4 linked regions of the Drosophila melanogaster genome follow. The gene in region 4 interacts genetically with the main gene of each other region. Each region holds a gene or a part of one and is shown on either strand. Other genes may lie near its edges. The genes, in order: ninaE, aru, RacGAP84C and hppy.

Region 1 (4,496 bases), on a different chromosome or scaffold from region 4:
AAAAGTACAGCTCAGCAGCAGTGAGAGAGTAGGAGAGCGGCGCCCGAAAAGATCCATTACTTTGGCGTTCTTTGAGCAGCCGCTCCATCATCCTCTCGCTCTCTCTCTCTGCGCTCTCACCTACCCCCACACGACGGCGCAGCGGCAGCGACGTCGGCAGAACACTTGCCGCCGTTTACCCACTCACACGCACACTCACACACGCGTCACTCACACTGGCGAGCGCGAATCCATTGTCGAACATAAAAATACAAAAATCAAATCATAGGTGTTTGTTAATTATACACTGTGCCCTGGAGCCAGGGTGTCACGGTTCGTTTGAGAAGTTTGGACATGTCACGTAAATACCAGGTATTATAATAAAACGCTATTATTTGAATATAATAATAATATTATATTATAAGCATATTATATTATACTTACTTATACTTTACTTACTTATTAAATTCGTGAAATATACAGAGCATACTTTCAGGTACATACACCCCGAACTCAAATCTTTATCGTTATCAATACACGATCAACATAAATGTATTATTGTCGTATTAAATATTACAGAGAAGGGCATTCAAAGTGCCGGGTAAGTTTGGTTCTGCCTCTCTAGTTTCAAATTTGCCCGCCTCATTGAGCAGGAAAACAACAAATTCCCCAACAATAACAACGTCTACGGATCGCAGCGTTTATCTCGCTTATTTGCTAATGCTAAATGATCGTCTTCTTCCCCGCCTTCGGCGGCCTTCTTCCACTTCACATCGCAATGTTTGTTGCAAGTTGGCTTGTCCATATGTCTCTGTTGTTGCTATACCCATTTCGTTACTTGGCTTTTATGTTTGGGCCATCTAGCAGGTGGGCGGGGGACTTTTGTTGTTTAGCGAAACCCGAAAATGCCGAATAAATTGAAATGCGATTCATGGTTTATACCCAGATTATTTGTATATATGCATACACAGAACTGTAGGTAAATACGTAAGTATGGGAACCGCAAGTGCGGCTAACGATGACGCCAATATAATGATCATGATGATCAAATTGATGGTAATGATAATGGCGATATGAGCGCAGCTTCCGGTTTTGCGCCTCGGTATTTTTGTTAGTTTTTTGCGCTGGCTAACTTTATATGAATATTTATTACCTGCGCTTTTTTTGTATTGTTTTGCGGTGTGTAATTGATTTAAACCGAAAGATCTGCCGACATGTGTCGACTGTCACACCAGCTGACAGTTATTTCGGTTTAGTTCCATATTTGGGTTGGGCGCAAAGCGTGGCATCCCATTTGGCCATTTGGATTAGCCTAAAACTTGACCCAATTCAAGCTGATGTGTTGAGCCATCGCACAAAGGCGAACAAAAGGCTTTTATGCCAAAGCTGGACTGACAAAATAAAATCCAAGCTGCCCACACCAAAAAGAAAAGAAACAAAACATGTTCGGAAAATTCAATGGAGGTGCGAAAAGATCAATCAGCACAAAAAATCCATAAGCGGCTTAGCGTCTGGGGTGTTCATATTCTTAATTTAAATAGATTATTTTACTACTTCCAAAAGCTGGCATTCTTTTTAAGATAATCCAAGATTAGCAGAGCCCTCAAGATGTGCGTTCATCGGCGCACACACTGCGTATACTTGATTGCGCATACGCACTGGTGTCGCAGGCGAACGATACTGATATTTCTTCTGCTACGATATGTTTTCATAATATTCTTCAAATTTGTCTAGGCATTGACACATTAAATCGCTGACTTTCGCCATTGCTTTCTGCACAATCTGGAGACTCAAGAATAATACTCGGCCAGAACCCCCAGTGGAAACCCTTGAAATGCCTTTAACTATTGACATTGGCCCATTGCGATGTGCGCTTGCTTTCGTTATGGATATTATGATTATAAGCCAAAAGCTGTCGACACTTTCCTCTGCACATTGCAGACATATTTTTAGGCTGGCCTAATTGAATTTCAAGAGCAGGGGTTACACGAGCACCGCGAAAACTATAAAAGCCATGCGGCAGAATGCAGACATTGCAGGTTTCCAACGACCAATCGCCGCGACTAGTCCGCCCCAGTGAAATATTCAGAATCCAGGAACCCTTTATGTAAAAAGTGTTAGAAATATTGTTAGTGAATTTGCAGCTTTTTATGTAGACAGTGTGATATAGGCGGGATATAGTGACGCAGCCAGTAACCAAAACACAATGGAGAGGTACGATCGGTGGATCCACTGGATGTTCTGGTTAGCAATTTAACATTTGCTTCGGTGTTGCAGCTTTGCAGTAGCAGCCGCGCAACTGGGGCCACACTTTGCCCCCCTGTCCAATGGATCGGTGGTGGACAAGGTCACGCCCGACATGGCCCACCTGATCAGCCCGTACTGGAACCAGTTCCCCGCCATGGACCCCATTTGGGCCAAGATCCTGACCGCCTACATGATCATGATCGGCATGATTTCCTGGTGCGGAAATGGCGTGGTGATCTACATATTCGCCACCACCAAATCACTGCGCACGCCCGCTAACCTGCTGGTCATCAACCTGGCCATCTCCGACTTTGGCATCATGATCACAAACACGCCCATGATGGGCATAAATCTGTATTTCGAGACCTGGGTGCTCGGACCCATGATGTGCGACATATACGCCGGACTGGGCTCGGCCTTTGGCTGCAGCTCCATCTGGTCCATGTGCATGATCTCCCTGGATCGCTACCAAGTGATCGTCAAGGGCATGGCCGGCCGGCCGATGACCATTCCGCTGGCCCTGGGCAAGATTGCCTACATCTGGTTCATGTCGAGCATTTGGTGCCTGGCGCCCGCCTTCGGCTGGAGCAGGTGAGTCCTTGAAATGGTAAACCTTCTGGGAACCCATTTTTTAAAAAATGATCAAAGCTACTATATACAAATGTTTAAAAACTTAAATTACAAACAAAAGGTTTACAAATTACAATTGTATTAATATTATTACCACCTAACATTATCCTATAAATATATATTCTTAATCTAAAAGGTATGTGCCGGAGGGTAACCTGACCTCGTGCGGTATTGACTACTTGGAACGCGACTGGAACCCACGCTCATACCTGATCTTCTACTCCATCTTCGTGTACTATATTCCGCTGTTCCTGATCTGCTACTCTTACTGGTTCATCATTGCTGTAAGTGGCGACGAGACTCGCATATCCCAGTCGCTTAACCCGATATATCCTCCCACAGGCTGTCTCCGCCCACGAGAAGGCCATGCGCGAGCAGGCCAAGAAGATGAATGTCAAGTCCCTCCGCTCCTCTGAGGATGCCGAGAAGAGCGCCGAGGGCAAGCTGGCCAAGGTGGCTCTGGTCACCATCACGCTGTGGTTCATGGCGTGGACACCATACCTGGTCATCAACTGCATGGGACTGTTCAAGTTCGAGGGCCTTACACCACTGAATACCATTTGGGGAGCTTGCTTCGCCAAATCGGCCGCCTGCTACAATCCAATTGTATACGGCATCAGGTTGGTTATGGGCTATGAAACGTATATACCTTAATATTTAACCAATTTTTTATTTTCATTCCGTATAGCCATCCGAAATATCGCCTGGCCCTCAAGGAGAAGTGTCCTTGCTGCGTCTTTGGCAAGGTCGACGATGGCAAATCGAGCGATGCCCAATCGCAGGCCACCGCCAGCGAGGCCGAGTCCAAGGCATAAATTCTTTGGCGCAACAACCAGAACAGCAACAACAACAACAAGAACATCTAACTACTTACAACAGCAACAACAACAGCAACAAAAACAACAGCAAGAACAACTGCAGCAACAGAACGAAACGCTTTCGAATAACATCAAAAACTTCAACAATAATGAAAAAATTATGCAACTTTCTTACATAACAAAAAGCAATGTAAACTCAGTTATTAAATTTCCTGCAATGTCAGTTAAGGACAAAAAAAAACTCAACAAAAAAAATAAATGCAAACGAACTAGAAAAGTTATAAATTAAAATGAGCCTTTTCAAAACATAGTATATCTAACAAAAGCAGCTTTTAGCGTGGAAAAACCCTAATGACGAACCTACAAAAGTTCGGATATCAACTTTCGGTTATCTTTCGCCTTTAAAGTTTGGAGAACCACAACAAATTTGAGTTTATTCATTCTTATATGTATAATAGTCTTCTTCAGAAGCTATAAATCCTTTCCAGTTAACAAGAAATACCCCTTTTTTGCAAAGCACTTCACAATATATTATCTATTTCAGTTTTTGTTTTCTTTTTTTTTTAAATTAAAGGCACTTATGTAAATTCCATTTTTATAAGTTAACATGCAATCGTTAAAACTGGACACACAGACAACGCCTTTTCGAACTCAAAGTTGAAAAGACATGAGTCAGCATGGGAGAACTTAACCCAGGGCTGCTGGAGACTCATTGAGCTGAGCCTCGCAGCGGTTAGTAGCACATGGAGAACATTAACAATTAATCAGTAGTATCTGTAAAGGCACAACTCAGAAAGCTTTCAACTCCAGTCACTCGCTGCA
Region 2 (6,164 bases), on a different chromosome or scaffold from region 4:
CGTGAAGACAACAGGTATAAAGGAGTCCGAGACTCCAATATGCAAAGTTCCTCCAAGAGAATTCACCTTTACTCACTTATTCTAGTTTTGCCTTGAGCGACGAGGAGACCGAGGGCGAATTCCCATTTGTGCGCGGAAAGCTCTTCAAGATCGCTTTTGGGCTCGGGGATCGGGCTTTCCTGATCGCCGTCAACGGGCAGTACTTCACCTACTACAACTTTCCCGGACGCCCCTTCTCCATATCCACTCTGAAGTGCTTCACCAACGAAGTGGGCGACTTCGCCGTGCGGAGCCTGGAGTACCACTCCGATTCTCCGCTTCTGGCCCGCGTGGAGAAGTTGTCCATCATTTAATCGATTCGAGTTCTCGTAGTATGCTCTTTGTTCAATCGTTGGCTTTGATCACCGTACAGCACCAGTTAACTTCTTCTTGTGAGCATCCAAATAAAGCAAAGCAGCTCTCCAAACTACAATCTCCTCAATAATCATCAACCAATAGGCAGGTTCCTTTGGATATAATTTTATTAAAACAAATTATTGCCGTCGCCTCCCCTTTTCGCCTGGATGAGCATCAGCTTAAGCATCCGCCTCAGCAGGAGCCACGTGCTGCTCAACAGCTCCCGTCTGGAGCTCCACTTAGGTTAGTCTTAAGGTTAGTTCTGGTTTGCACACTCCTGCGAGCGAGTGCAAGGTATTGGAGCCAATCCGATCGCTAGTGACCAGGACTAGCATCCTAGACGGAACTGCTGATGTCTGTCTCTCTATAACGCTAGATCCTCACTACGGAATATGTGTATATGTATATGGTGATCGCATCTCGATCCTAGAAGTAGCGGAACTCGCCCTTCTTGCCCAGATGCTTGCTGCGCATCATGTCGGTGGGATCCGGCGATCGCTGTTCCATGCCGGGATTATCCTGGGTAATGTAGAGCGGTTAGCAAGTCCCATCATGAATTGAGTGACCAGCCTTACTCACCCCTGATCGCGATTTGTTGCCCGGACCTGTGGGACCCGTCGGTGGCTGCTGCTGTTGCCCGTAGAACTGGGCTCCATCTCCATCCCCGAAATTGAAGGGGGTTACAATCGTGTGCGGCACGTGGGCCACCTGACCCCGCATGTTGCGCGCCTTCCACCACTTTCGGGTATCATCAAGGATCTAAAGTTTCGAAGAGATGGTTATAGGACAGAACGAAGGATGGTAACGTGGGTGCTGGCCTTACCTCCAAGTATTCGCCTCGCATCACGCTAAGCTCCTTGTCGTTGTTGGCGGTTCGCGGATAGGTGACCAGCACAATCTTAGCGCCCGTCGCCTGCAGATCCTCCAGCCAGGACTCGAGCATCTGGTCGTCGCTGACATTCGGCAGGCCTCTGCCTCCACCGCCCAACTCCGACGAAGGCCCCGGACCAGCTCCTGCTCCGTACCCGTTTCCACTGCGAGATTCCCTCGTATGCAGATTCTGCAGACCAGCTGTGATGGCGCTAAGGGTTGGTCCAGCTCCTGGTCCGTGGCCATGACCATGGCCATGTCCCGCTGCTCCGCCGCCCCTGCCTTCGATCGAGTCGAACGACAGCTCGCTGCGGGCGTTAAAGTCAGACGCACTGATTGCGCCCGCCCGCTCTCTGTCGCGCTCCCTTTCCCGCTCCCTTAAACCGTCGTTGCCGTGGTGGATGGTGTACTTCTCGATACCCATGGCCATGTTCATCCCGTTCCCCGAGTCGTAGTCATCGTATCCGCCTCCCCCACGACCATTTAGTCCGGATCCAGCCTGGACCTCGAGTCTGCGCTTGCTCACATGAGCGGGCGGGGAATTTGGTGGTGGCTCCAGTTCATCGTTGATCAAATAGTCCGGTGACCAGCCATCGAGGAAGACCGGATGGTAGGATCCAACGTCATCCTTCCACTGATCTCGCGGGATCACCCAGGCATCGCCCAACGAGCGCCACAGCTCCGTTTCCTTGCTGGTTACACAGTTGATGAGCAGGTTGATGGCCTCTCTGGTCAGCAGGGGATTAACCACACGGGCCGGTAGCTGTGACTCGTAGTACGTGTCGCTGGAGGCCTCCACAATCAGAGCCAGCGGCGTGAAGAGGAAATGCACCAGTTCGGGAGCGTTGGGATCGTGGATGTGCGCCTTCAACTTTGCCAGCAGGTTAAATGACAGCTTAAACTTGGCAAAGATGTCCACGAACTCCTTCTCGTGGGGAGGCCGTGTCCTCAAAGTGAGCAATCCCTCCCCCGGATCCCTTTTCTTCGACTTCCGATTGCGACGACGGCGCTCGAGCTCCCGGGAAGCGGCGGCGGCGTGCTGAAGACGAGCTATGAACTTCTCGATGTCATCGAAACAGTGATTCAGCACAGCCACATCCCGCTCGTACTTCTCGCTGGACGTGGAGCTAGTCTCATCGCGCTCCGTTGCGCCACCGCCCCCAATCCCACCGTGTTCCGAATCCGTCTCGCCACTAATGTGGGCAACGTCATCGCCAGAAACTCCTACTCCGGCACGGATTCCATACTGTTCCATGCTGCTCCTTTGGTGCATGTGATGGTGGCTTTCGCGCTCACGGTCTCGATCACGCTCCCTCTCGCGCTCTGCCCGCTGCTCCCTGTGCTGGTGCAGCTCCACTCTACTATGCGACGAGGACGAGGAGGTTTTGCTCATCATCATGGCCATGCTGGAGGCTCCTCCGCCTCCTGATTGAGTGGGTGTGGCACCGCGCTGCTGCGTTATCATCTTGCCGCTTCTCAGCTGCTTCAGATCCTCAACCAGGTGAACGGCGGACACACTTTGTGACTGCAGGGATAAATCATTTGAATGAAACTGTCATGAGACAGAAGCCTCACTAATTCTCACCTGGAATATGTGCATCTCGGAGCGAGAACCACCGCCTCCGGATACGATAAAGACCAGAATGTTGTTGTATAGCTCCATGGCGTCATTCGAGGTGAATGCGGTGGGCTCCTGAACCAAGGAGGCGGGGAATCTTTCGATTATGTTCTGTAAGGCAAGGATGAAGATGAGTTCCATAAGGATCTTTCCCAGTTTGTGAAACGTACCCCTGTTTCATAGTCCATAATTAGCACCCACTGATAGTCCAGGCAGAGCTGCATCTTCTGCGACCAAATACCCGTGGTCTTCTCCAGCTGAAGGAGGCGACGCATTCCGTCCGCCGGATACACAATGCCGGACTCCTTGTTGACCGTGAAGGTGGCCAGGTGTTCCAGCAGGTAGGTGGGCTTGTCGTGCAAGTCACTCTCCAGACGCTCCCGCTCCTCGCCGCCTCCGCTGCGATCGTCTCCGGAATAGTCTCCTCCTCCGCCGCCGCCTCCATGGGCACCGCCTCCTCTTAGGCTTCCGCTACTGTTTCCAGCACTGCCGCCTCCGTTCGAGTGGTGGTTCACCATGGTGTCTCCCAATCCCGGTACAGGCTTCGATCGACGTCTGAAGCTCCGTCTAAAAATAAAATTTTTTCACATCATCATCATCGTCAACAATTTTGTATATCGGTCTTTGATTCGTTTAAAATATAAGTTACCGTTTAAATGATGAACTTAGTAGCTTAAACATTGATTAAAAGTTTTGATCGTTACCAACTTATACTTTTGCTTCTTAGGTCGAGTTGAACTATCGTCATTTGAAAATAATATTTAGAATTATGTGTATGCTTTTAATAATCCCATTTAATCGCTTATTCCAATGACTAAAACATTATATCGTGACTGCTGTCGAAAAACATGTTTAACTTGATTAGAATAGTATTCCCAAAACTAAATTTCCTATTGGCAGGGGTGTGGTTAAGCCCCTTGGAAGTCTGGTTCCCAATTTGGTCTCTCAAGACCTTAAAGCCTCCGCTGACCGAGTCTTCGAGCTGAAATCTTATGAGTGTCGAATACGAAAATTGGTCCTAAAGTATGTGTTAGATCATTATGCTGTGTTTATTTTGTGCAGCTGAGACTAAGTCCCTCTGCATCCGAAGGCCCCTAATCCCGCCAAGCCACTTGGATATTGCGCAGCCAATCGTCTCTGACTCAGACCGCATTCCGATTCCAAGCCTCCACTAGCGTTGGCATACACACTCCAAGCGATCCGCACATGGCCGCAATTATTCTCAAACTTTAACATTTCGTTGTTGGCTTGGATCAGCATTGGAATTCAAAAATCGCGCTACTTCCACTTCCCCAGGTTCTCCTCTAAGCTCGGTGTCTCCACTTTGACTACACAGAGAATATCTTTGGATAGTTTACTTCCGATTATATTCATCTTATTTGTATTAACAGCAGCAAATTGTATTGCATTGTAGATGTAATAGAGAGTAATTGTAGAGTAATAGCTCTTATCTTCAAAAATTAGGCCAACTATGGTTCTATGTCACAGTAACATTCTTTTCAACACTCGGATAAATCTCTCTTATTTTTTCTGTGTAGCCAGTGAACACACCTGCAAAAGACACACACACACACGTAAAACTGAGATTTGCAAACACACTTTCTCGCTCCCTCTCGCTCTAACCCTCGCAGACTCTATCCAAACCGCTCCCTCGACTCAAGTGACAGCAACAACTTTTCCGCTGTTTTAGGCTGGGCTCAGACGCCGACTGCGACGCGGGCAGCGGTGTCGCATACCTATCTACACTAAGCAAAAATCGCTACTGTTTTTATAAAGATATTGAAAATCATTATAATAATCCTATGGCGAGAAAGTCTCTAGAATGTAGTTCTAACCATTTTTAAATGTTAACAACATTTTCCATGATAGAAACACCCCCAAGTTTGTCGATTGTTTTCAGTGTATCAATCCAGCAGTGTCGCAGGGTCAATGGACAGGGGAAAGGGGGTGTTGGGTGCTTGTGTACTTGCAAACAGGTGAAAGAGAAACTGCAGAGGGGGTCAGCTGGAGGCACTATCTGCTTACGATCTTGTACAAGCCAAAATCGCAGTAAACAAACAAGCGAAGTGCACGTAAAAAAGAAAACACTGACCCACTACACCCCTGGAAATGTTTTGTTTTCGTTAAGTTGCGCCGCTGTGTTATATTTCAGCGTTTTACTGTTCGTACAAGCCCCAAATTGCATCACACTTGTGGAATTTGACAGATTTGTGTTTTCGCTCCTAACTCTACAGCAGCTTAGAGGCCAATGACGAAACGCGATAAACATTATCGCACTTGGGTAACATGGAAATAGTTGGGCTTGCATAAATCATGCTTTAGAGAAAGTACTAAAGCTGCTGGGTGATTTGAAGTTAAGTTAAGTCATCATAAACATCTACAAAAACATTATGCTAAATGAAATACATATATGTTTATAATATAAGTATTACTACTTTTGTACTTCTATAATCTTGAAATATTTGCAATCCACACATATGTATCTATGCATCTGTAAATAGGGGAAAATTATAAGCCTCGGTAAGGCAATCTAAGATACATAACTGCACTGGTATCTAAGAACTCCCCGACAAGAACCATAAACCTGGAGACATGCCCCAAGCATAGCTTCCATTCAGGTGAAGATAATTAATTGGGTCCTGATAAGCGTGAGATGGGGTGTTAGAGCCTCAAATAATTCAGACAGCTGGGATTTAGATAAAACGGCGGCGTGCGGTACACTTGCTTTTTTATTTTATCTCGCATACTTTTTGGTTTACGAAGCAAATGGCAAAACAACAAATGACAATAGTTGTTTTTGCTGTTCTTTGGGTGGAAACCCGCTCGTTAGATGGTGGTGGGCTGGAGGGGGGTGGAGAGACATCGACACCCCGATCCACACTATTGTCGTCCCCCTCGCGCGCATGCGTGGCAGATAAGCTGACGTCTTTGCTTGCGCTGGTGTGTGCGGCTTGAAAAGGTATTTGTCTCCGTGTCTCGAGCCCCCCGGCACCCGCCACCCCCTCGCCTGTTGCTGCAACTTTAGTTTTTGACCGACCGCATTTTTTAAGCTTTCTTTTCCACCTGTTTTCCGTTTTCCTCTCTCACTGTGCGCTGTTTATATTCCACGAGCCTCTCTCAGACACACACACACACGTCGCCTATAAGCCGCACTCACACAGGTGAGGCTTCACAGTAATGTGCGAGCGCGGATATACAGTGGACCCTCAAATAAGTAATCTAATTGAAAATAACATCCTTGAAGCTCTTTAGGCAATTATTTAAATTAATAATCTAACCA
Region 3 (3,851 bases), on a different chromosome or scaffold from region 4:
ATTCGAGTTTTGTTTTGCTTTGCTTGTTTTTTGCATTTAATGGCCGCACTTTTTTGCACGGCACTCTCCAAATTGTTTTTAAAATGCTAACTTTTTTCTTGGCGCTTTAACTTATTTATATGTGTTCGCGGCAAAATATTTTACTTTGTGCTTTGGTTTACGCTTCAAAGAAACATAAATATGGGAAATGGAAATTATTAATTTTTTACATGTTTTCAACGGTTGGGAATTAATCAACGTTCGGCGAAAAAAATTGCAAATTCAATTAAAAATGTTTATTAATGTTTCAATACTCGAAATATATAGTTTTGCGATAACGTCGCTCTGGGCCATGCTAGATTATTTATGTGGTGCGAATAAGATTTTGGCCTGGCTTTATATTTAATTAGCCGAATTTCATATATGGAAATAATGGGTGTTTTCTGAGAGTATCTTTTGGTGATTCAATAAATCAAGTATTGCACTTGAGATGTCAAGTACTCTTGTTAGCCGCATATAATTCAACAACACATACACAACATGTTAGAGATCCAATTATTATTAGTTCTTCAACTGTAGTGAATAATGAAAAAAAATACAAAATAAAATAAAAAAGGGTGACTGCATCCATTCTCGATGTCTCAGTCATAAGACTTTCACTATAGGTGAGTACTGCTAAGGTTGACCTGAAACAGGAAGTATTCAGTGAAAGATTTGTATGATATGTTTGATTGCTTGTATTGAGTTTGGCTTATTCGAATATGAAATTCTATCCAAATCCGTTAAAGGGAAACCATAGGTCTTACCATTGATCTAAAGTAGGTCTTAACAGAAGACCATCCCAGATTGGACGAGCTGTCCCAGTGACGGTGATTGTACCGGTCCTCAAAGTCATAGGTGCTGCCCAACGAAGTGGGAAGGGGATGGACCTCCAAGAACTGAGACCAAAATCCGGCAGGCATCAGAAGTAGCACCTTCAGCACCCGCTGCCAAGTGACGACATTTTCGAGGGTTAGATCCAGATCTCCGAACAGAGTTGGAGCGAAGATCACGGCAAGATTGTTGACCGTCATGCGGACAGCAGGACTTTCGGCAATTTTCTGCCAGTGAAGCATTAAGTAGGCCAACGTATCCCTGTGAGCCTGATGCAGCTCCAGAACCGCTAAATATACCGCCATCTCCACAGCCAGACGATCTTCGTGCCGCGTGGCCTCCTCGAAATCCCTTCGGTGGTAAATGGGAATCAGAGGGTGAACCAACTGCCGAAGAAAGTCCTTAACACAACAGCACAGTGTGTGGGTGTCTTTATTGCCCAAATGCGGCGTGGACTTGCCACGCAGCAGCTTCCGACGCAGTCGTTTGCATTTCTCTCGGGTGGAGGACACCCGGTAGAGTCCCTCCTGCTGCAATCCCCGCGCCTCGATCTCCGTTACACAATGGACAATTAAGGCCGGCACCATGGGCGCCACCCGAGGCGCATAATCGCTGAGACATCCTCTCTTCGTACCGATTTGAGGCTGGGGGATGCAGTTCACCGTCAGCTGGCGGCAGCAACCGATGTGGCAGCGGAGCGGACACGCCCGACACCTCAGGCTGGCCATGGCGAAGCGGATCCTGGAAGAAGACCAGGGACACGCGGTTAGGGAGGTAAATGCTGGTCAGAGAGGGTTGGGATGTTATTTAACTTTTCATGTTTTCCCTGAATTCGAAATCCTCTCAGAAGTTCCACCATTCGGTGATTGCAACTCACCTTTTGCGGCAGTGTACGCAGTTCCCCACGTTGTAGTAGTAGGACTTAATCTTGAAATTGTGCTCCCTCAGCAGCCCCGAGTGGGACTGCGAGCAGAAGTCGAGTCCGTCCGTGGATAAGCCATCGCAGCCACTGGGATTCATGTCCACGCGATCCTGCAGCGAGTCCAGGGACTGCGATCCAAACATGCGGTAGTGCTCGCTGAGGTCATCGTAGGACCTGTACTCCCGCAGAAGCCTCCGTTTGTTCTGCATCGTGGGGCGAACGGGCGACAAATAAAGTCGATTTGAGGGCGTCCGACTCCCAGAGCCACTAATCATAAAGTTGGCGAATTGATTCAGCTGTTCTGGTCAGTTGGCAATTTCCGAAGAGAGGCCACTTCGGCTTGAGTCAGCTACGCAGAAGTTATCGGCTCGCTTCTCCGAATACTCGACCGAAATGTTTATTTACTCTTACGGTTTATTTGGAATCGGGTGAAAGCTGATAGCTTAAATAGTTCTGGCAGCACAAAAATTCGATCACCCATAGAGAGTGCCTACTGTGGGTCGTACATTTGTAAATATTTCTGGATAATTCATACACACATCTAGGGTGCTCCGCAGAAATTTAATGGGCGACTAAGGTGTTACTAAGAAATATCAAAAATGCTGTTTTCAATACAAAAAAAAAGTGAATCAAATTATTATAAACATTTTTTGTGCCTAACAATAACAGATATTTGCCCTGTCTTCTTCATATAAACAAGTCAGTGGTGATCTTTTTATATTTTCGATTCAATTAAATCGTTAAAGACAATCAATCACACCGAGATTCAATGTCACGATACAAAAGCTAAAAATCCCTAAAAACAAAAAGAATGTAGAAAATCGAACTAAAAAAACAATTTGCTAAAGTATCTATGAATTCTAAGCGCCCAGAAAATGGCTCAATGGCGCCGCTAAATGGATGAAAAATTCATGGAAAACCGTTTTGCGGCCACCAGACATAGAATGCAACCAGCAAAAATGTAGCACGAAAAAATGCTGCAGTTCATGTGAGGCCGGAACGTCAGAAAGCGAAAATGTTGAGTAAACGTGCTGCTAAAAAAACACAAAAATTAGAATTTAAAGGGACTTCGAGCTTGGAACTTTTGTGGAAAACGAAACATGGATCTGTCTGTTGATTTAATGGCATCATTGGCATTGATTTTTATGCGATTTTAAAGTTTGGATAGAGTAAAAACAAAATTATCATGGCACTTTTCAGTTTTGGGCTGTGAATTGAAGAGCAGCGCCAGCAAAATTAACGAGCAAGGCGGGGAATTGGATTTTTATGCTTTTTTGTAGTCGTTTTTTAGGCGTCAGCTGCATTGACGCCGGTGTGCCTATGTGTGCGTGAGCATTTGAGGGTGTGGGTTTAGGTGTGTGTGAGCTTTGGGCTGAAATACTAAGGATGGTTGCCACTGCCACATTGAATTCGTAGTTATTAATGCGTATTGAAATGCACACATTGCAGTGAGTGAGAGTGTCTCTCTCTGTGATTATGCGGCGTGTGTGTGGGCGTAGTATTCATAATTGCACTTGTGTGGGCTTCTATCTGTGTCCGACTGTTTTGTTTGTATTCAAAGTCCACAAATACGAGTCACGCATCGCAATAAGCCCATGCAATCCCCTGCCTCACTCCTCACTCCACTTTTCCCAAAATGCTTTTTTGTACTTTTTCTGATTCGCCTCTGACTGTGTGTGTTCAAATACGTGTGTGGCCCTATGTGTGTGTCTGTCCGTTGCGTATTCCAAAAAGCAAAAAAAAAAAGTACAGAAACACAACAAAACAGCATAAAAAATGTTTGGACATCCACAAAACATACAAAAAAGAGGGGAGTTCTGGGCAAAAACGAGTGGGAAAAAATGGCATCAAAGCACGTTGACAGTGTTGCCACGTGGTGATAATTAATTTTTCACACACAAAAGTTGATCAAAATGTTTTTATCCGGTGCCTCCAAAATTTAAGGAATTATTTGGTTGCATCGAGCTCAAAATATTTCAACTTTAAAGCTTCTTAACAGAATGAAAAAGTTTAACGCAATTGTTATAGATTCAGGATGTTGCTTAAAAACATCTTAGCACATGGTTTTCTGTACTAA
Region 4 (4,930 bases):
TACTAATTTATTGATTTCGTTTTATTTTTCTCTTTCCACACACACACACAACACAACACACGAATACGCACACCCACCCAATGAAACAAAAAATAAATAAAACAGAACGTCATTTCCGGTACTCACAGAGAGAGATATAAACCTAGTTAACTAAATCCTTATTTTGTGACCAATCCAACTATCTGAATACTTATTCTTTTGTAAACAACTTGAATCCGCCAAATGCAGTTTGATATTTACCAAGAGCAATTTTTGATTTACTCACTCCACTGAATTGGCGTCAGAAATGGAAAATTCGGCTTCGTTTTCCGGCTTCCGCTAGCATCCTCCCATACCCAATCGCACTGTCACCTCGCTTGGCCACGCTGTTTCATTATGTGTAATATAACTTCTGGGCACTAATTCGAGCTCTTTTTCTCATCGCATCCCTCACACGAAATACAACCAAACCACCCACACGGACACAGGATGGCCAGTGAGGAGTAGAAAGGTCTCAGCCACAGCACAGCATCTTTAAAGCCAGTTAAATACCATTCTTAAGTGCTATCCAAGCGATGTGCGAGTTCATTCTGACGCCATATATATACATATATATAGTTAAAAAAGAACCTACACAATCCTCCTTCGATTTGACCAAACAAAAAATAGAAAAAACTCCAGGGTTCTAGATCCGTTCTGCTGCAGTTTTGTGTGGTTCGCGCATTTTCCAGTTGACCCTTTGGCAGCTGGAAAATCGGGGTAAGCTGGCAACGCATTCGCATGAAATTCCTCGTTCTGCTCCACTGTGTTGTGTACTAAATTAACACTCTCGTTCGGTTTTGATCGCACTGCGATCCATACTAATGCAATTCCTTCTGAGGATTGTTCAGTTAATTCGTTCAGATTCGGCCTAATACTGTTTGAAGCTTGTTTTCCAATTGTTAACCATTGATATTGCACTTGTCTAGATATATCTAACGTTCGTTTTTCTCTTATTTTCACAGAACTAAACTCAATTCAGCGGCGGCAGATCGCAGCATACGGAAGCTGTGAATATGGGGAATACCCTGGAATCCAAGCCAGACAGCCCCAAGCCGAGAAACCTTAATCGAAATAATACCCTAGTTACATAGAAGTGAAGGAAGGAGCTGTGCTAACCATCTTCTTCTGCTATGGAACATCTCGATACATTTTACGTTATTTATTTATACACTCACGCGAACACACACATGTGCAATAAGTTCTTTGGATTCGTTTTTAACCCATTTCTCCGTGTCAACGTGCTCGAGCCCTTTGATATTTTGTATTTTCTACAAACACGAATAATAATTGTACAAAATAAAAGTGAATTAGGGTTTTTTTTTTAAATTAAACAACAAATTCGGTGAATCAATAAAGTTGTGATCACTAATAATACCGGATATTTTTCGGAAAGCAGTTGGCAGTAGTTTGCGTGTAGATATTAAACATTTCACTTGTTTCGAGTTTAGGATCCAATTGTTGTTGTTGGGAACGGCGGTCTGCACAAAGGAGTTTTCCCAGTTTGTGGCTGATTTAGGTCTTAGTAACGTAGGAAAGATTAAGGGGAAGTTCCTATAAAACATTGCTGATTGGCAATACAGTGACAAATCATTTGTATGACATTCTAATTAATAACTAAAGAAACATTGAAGTAGATTTGAGAGCTTTAACTAATGTATTCCTTTAACGCTGCTACTAAATGTACTTTCATGTGGATTCAATGATTCATTTTATTGAATTTCGAATGTCCTTCAGCAGTTTAAAAATTTCCCCTGTCTGGCCACCCCTTCTGGCCAACTAATATCGATATCTTCGAAACGACAGCCCGACAGAGTTGCCACCGCCGAACGACCAGCGCTGCTATCGATAGGCCCGCGGGCAGAGTGCCATCGCTAGCGAGGGGTGAGAGGAACAACAACATTTGTGGGCTGCGCGTTGACGAAGTGCATGTGAAATTTTTCGTGTTCGTAGGACAATTGTTAATTATCCACTGGCCGAATTTGCCCCGCAATCACGTGTCGGTGTAATATGTGAACGGTTTGTGGTGCTCACCTAGCGCTTAGCGAAAATCGGAATAAAATTATAAAAAAAAAATAATAAACGTAGTATTTACACCAGCAACAACAACACCACGAACGGGCGACAAAGCGACACGCCTCGCGTTGTTGTTTTTGTTGTCGCGTGTTTTTTTACTCGGCAGCACAGCAACTATTTATTTATTTAGGCAATTTCGCTGGCAAAAACAAAAGTGGCCTTCATAAATTCTAATAAAAAGTAATTAAAGTGCAAATGCATTGAGAAGCAAGGAAGAGGAGACGAGAAGATAAAGAATATATGCAGTGGAAGAGAGAGAGCGCGAACGAGAGAGGGGATTACAAAAAACGAGACATCGTTCACTTGCCCTCTCGCTCCCACCCCCGCGCTTTCTCCACCTTCTTCTCCACCCTGGCCTTTATCAAATTTGTTGTTGCTGCTTTATTTGCTGATTTTTGTTTTCATCGCTTTTTTTTTTATTCTGCGTCATAATTCGCGATTCTCTAGTTTCGTGTGTGTATCAATTCAATTCTCTGATCAGAATCTGATTCATATGAAATAAATGTATATGTTTAATACATAATATACAAAAGTCCAGTTAACCTTACGTAATTGTGTGTATTTCAAAGCGTCCAAAATGCATCTCGATCCACAAAAGTATCTAAATTTCGCCTGCTACGTGTGCTAATCAGTCAAACCCAAAAAACGAATAAAGCAGCGTCAAGAGTAAGAGTGTCAATCAAATATTAAGAGTATACCCACCCAGTAAAGAGAGGTCCAGCCAAAAGGACTCGATCGCCTCGAACCGAAAGCGGAAGCGGAAGCGGAAACGGCAACGGCATACGGATACGGAAGCTGCCAAGATGGCCGCCGCCCACAGTCACCACAATGCCAATATGCTCAGCTCGGACATCTCTCGCCGAAATCCGCAGGACGAGTACGAACTCATCCAAAAGATTGGCTCGGGAACCTACGGCGACGTCTATAAGGTGAGTCGAAATAGAAGCCTTTAGCTGTAGTACAAAGTGGTATTAGGAAGGGAAAGGCAAAAACTTCTAAATAAAAACAACAGCAAACAAAAGGCAAAGAAATTGCAAAGTGTGCTCTTTGGATTTAGAATGTTTCCCCAAAAATCCGTAAGTTTTTATAGTTTCCCTCACTGCAATTTTTGCATTCCGTCTGCACAGGAAAAAATTATCCAACAGTTCTCAAATTCGATTAATTCACTTTGAATTGTATCAGGAAGTTTTCTGTTCAATAAAGAGACATCACACATTATGTAACACTATTGCCTCATTGGATTGCAAAACCTAGGAATAATGTTCTTATTGGATAATTTTTGGACACATAATCAAGAATAAATTTTAAAGTTGAATGTGTTCCATATGGTAAAACTAGTTCTAGTCCGTTATGCATTTATAGAAAATGAATTTAGTTACATATCTCAATGTGGAGTATCATTATTGCTCACCACGCCACATAAATAATAAAATTGTATGTGCGTTAAAATGTAGAACGCATTAAATCATAAAGGAGGAATGTTTTTTTGCTCCAGTGCAAGAGTGCATGTACCCCCTCGATCTCCCCACCGCCACCCACTTGCAGACCCTCATTTGTACATCTGTTTGCCACAGCATGTTTCTCATTCCTTCACTACCCCCACCCCCCCTTCACTCCACATCCCTTTCAGCACCCCCTTCCCCCAAACCCCTCGCCCCGCCACAAACAAAAATATGCGCAATTTTAGTTTTCCATCTTCTTCTCTGTTGGATCGTTCTTTTTATACCATCCAACTTCCATGTTTACTCTTGCTGCCCGTCGAAGGGAAGTATGACAAATGCCCCGAAACGCCAGAGAAGTTGCCCTTGGGCGGGGGGGCGTGGCACGTTGCAATTGTTGTTGCCAGGGGCGGGATTATATGGGAATATATCGGGGGAGATATTATGGTATTTCTCATGTGCAGACCAAGGGTTAAGTTCCTCATTTTCCATATGGAATGCCTTTGAATTCGAGGGATTTCCCCAATTCGATTTATTGCATTCTAGTTGGCAACCCAAAATCTATAAATCATCAGCTTTTCGAACGTTTTCCATTCGATTAATTTTGACGAAATTGAAATTGATTAAATTTCACATTGCTCATAAAAGATGGGAATTCAATTAGTTTGTGCACTTTTGAAATTCGATATTAAGTATATCGTAATTTATAGATTTTAATTTGTAGAAAATGAGAGAATTGTTAATTAATTTGCTTTGGCATATTGATAACTTGGTTTGACAGCGCACAATGAAATCAATATGTCTATAATGTGCACCACAATTCTGCACGACATTTGAATGGTTTTTGACTCGCTTAATTTGAATGCTTAGGTTTTAAACAATATGTGCAGTTTTTTGGTTGGCTTTTGTTAATAACGTTTTATGTTGACTAAAGTCTTGTTTTTCTGTAAACTCAGGCAATCATTATTAGTCATCAAAGCGTAAGACTGTTGAGATTATGCTTATTCTTGCTCATCAGACTGATATTGGGACTTGATTCATTTTGCCTCACTTCAATTTATTCGATAAGCAGCCACGCGCTTGCATTGATTATTCGGATTAGTTTCGAATGTGTTATTTATTTATTTATTTATGTTTGCCCACATCTGGTTTTGTGGCCCTCTACTCATTTTGCCATCTGATTGTGTCTCGTTTTTGTTTTTTAGAGCCCGTTCCGTTCTGCTTTCTGTATCTTTTCTCCATGTTCCATCCATGAGATGCGTCATGCCATGAGTCCAAAGCCCATGGTTTCGGTTTCAATCCACCATGCAATTTACACTCTTTCGTTCCCCCTGCTTTTTACTTCGGTTTTTTTTTTATTTATTTTCACACCGAGGTATTTGGTTGTCAAGGGAATT

What was found.
Region 1: of hppy (region 4) and ninaE, changing one enhances a phenotype caused by changing the other (phenotypic enhancement), as found in Drosophila melanogaster (one study listed by BioGRID).
Region 2: of hppy (region 4) and aru, changing one suppresses a phenotype caused by changing the other (phenotypic suppression), as found in Drosophila melanogaster (one study listed by BioGRID).
Region 3: of hppy (region 4) and RacGAP84C, changing one enhances a phenotype caused by changing the other (phenotypic enhancement), as found in Drosophila melanogaster (one study listed by BioGRID).

What each region holds. Positions count from the first base shown.
Region 1 is NT_033777.3:19,885,720-19,890,215, reverse strand, and holds ninaE (neither inactivation nor afterpotential E), read left to right. Parts: upstream 1-2,009; 5' UTR 2,010-2,185; coding exon 2,186-2,193; intron 2,194-2,256; coding exon 2,257-2,817; intron 2,818-2,992; coding exon 2,993-3,140; intron 3,141-3,198; coding exon 3,199-3,476; intron 3,477-3,544; coding exon 3,545-3,671; 3' UTR 3,672-3,961; downstream 3,962-4,496. Other genes in the region: Ask1 (apoptotic signal-regulating kinase 1), read right to left, coding at 4,485-4,496. UniProt on the Drosophila melanogaster protein: Visual pigments are the light-absorbing molecules that mediate vision. They consist of an apoprotein, opsin, covalently linked to cis-retinal.
Region 2 is NT_033779.5:861,344-867,507, forward strand, and holds aru (arouser), read right to left. Parts: upstream 4,519-6,164; 5' UTR 4,484-4,518; intron 3,718-4,483; 5' UTR 3,566-3,717; coding exon 3,534-3,565; intron 3,452-3,533; coding exon 3,055-3,451; intron 2,996-3,054; coding exon 2,852-2,995; intron 2,792-2,851; coding exon 1,220-2,791; intron 1,156-1,219; coding exon 976-1,155; intron 916-975; coding exon 823-915; 3' UTR 506-822; downstream 1-505. Other genes in the region: CG13950 (uncharacterized protein), read left to right, coding at 1-14, 86-353.
Region 3 is NT_033777.3:7,284,303-7,288,153, reverse strand, and holds RacGAP84C (Rac GTPase activating protein at 84C), read right to left. Parts: upstream 2,193-3,851; 5' UTR 2,050-2,192; coding exon 1,730-2,049; intron 1,594-1,729; coding exon 786-1,593; coding exon of another isoform or gene 762-785; exon of another isoform or gene 703-761; intron 666-702; coding exon 639-665; 3' UTR 525-638; downstream 1-524.
Region 4 is NT_033778.4:19,176,836-19,181,765, forward strand, and holds the start of hppy (happyhour), read left to right. Parts: upstream 1-1,902; 5' UTR 1,903-2,037; intron 2,038-2,663; 5' UTR 2,664-2,897; coding exon 2,898-3,023; intron 3,024-4,930. Other genes in the region: CG10737 (uncharacterized protein), read left to right, coding at 106-154.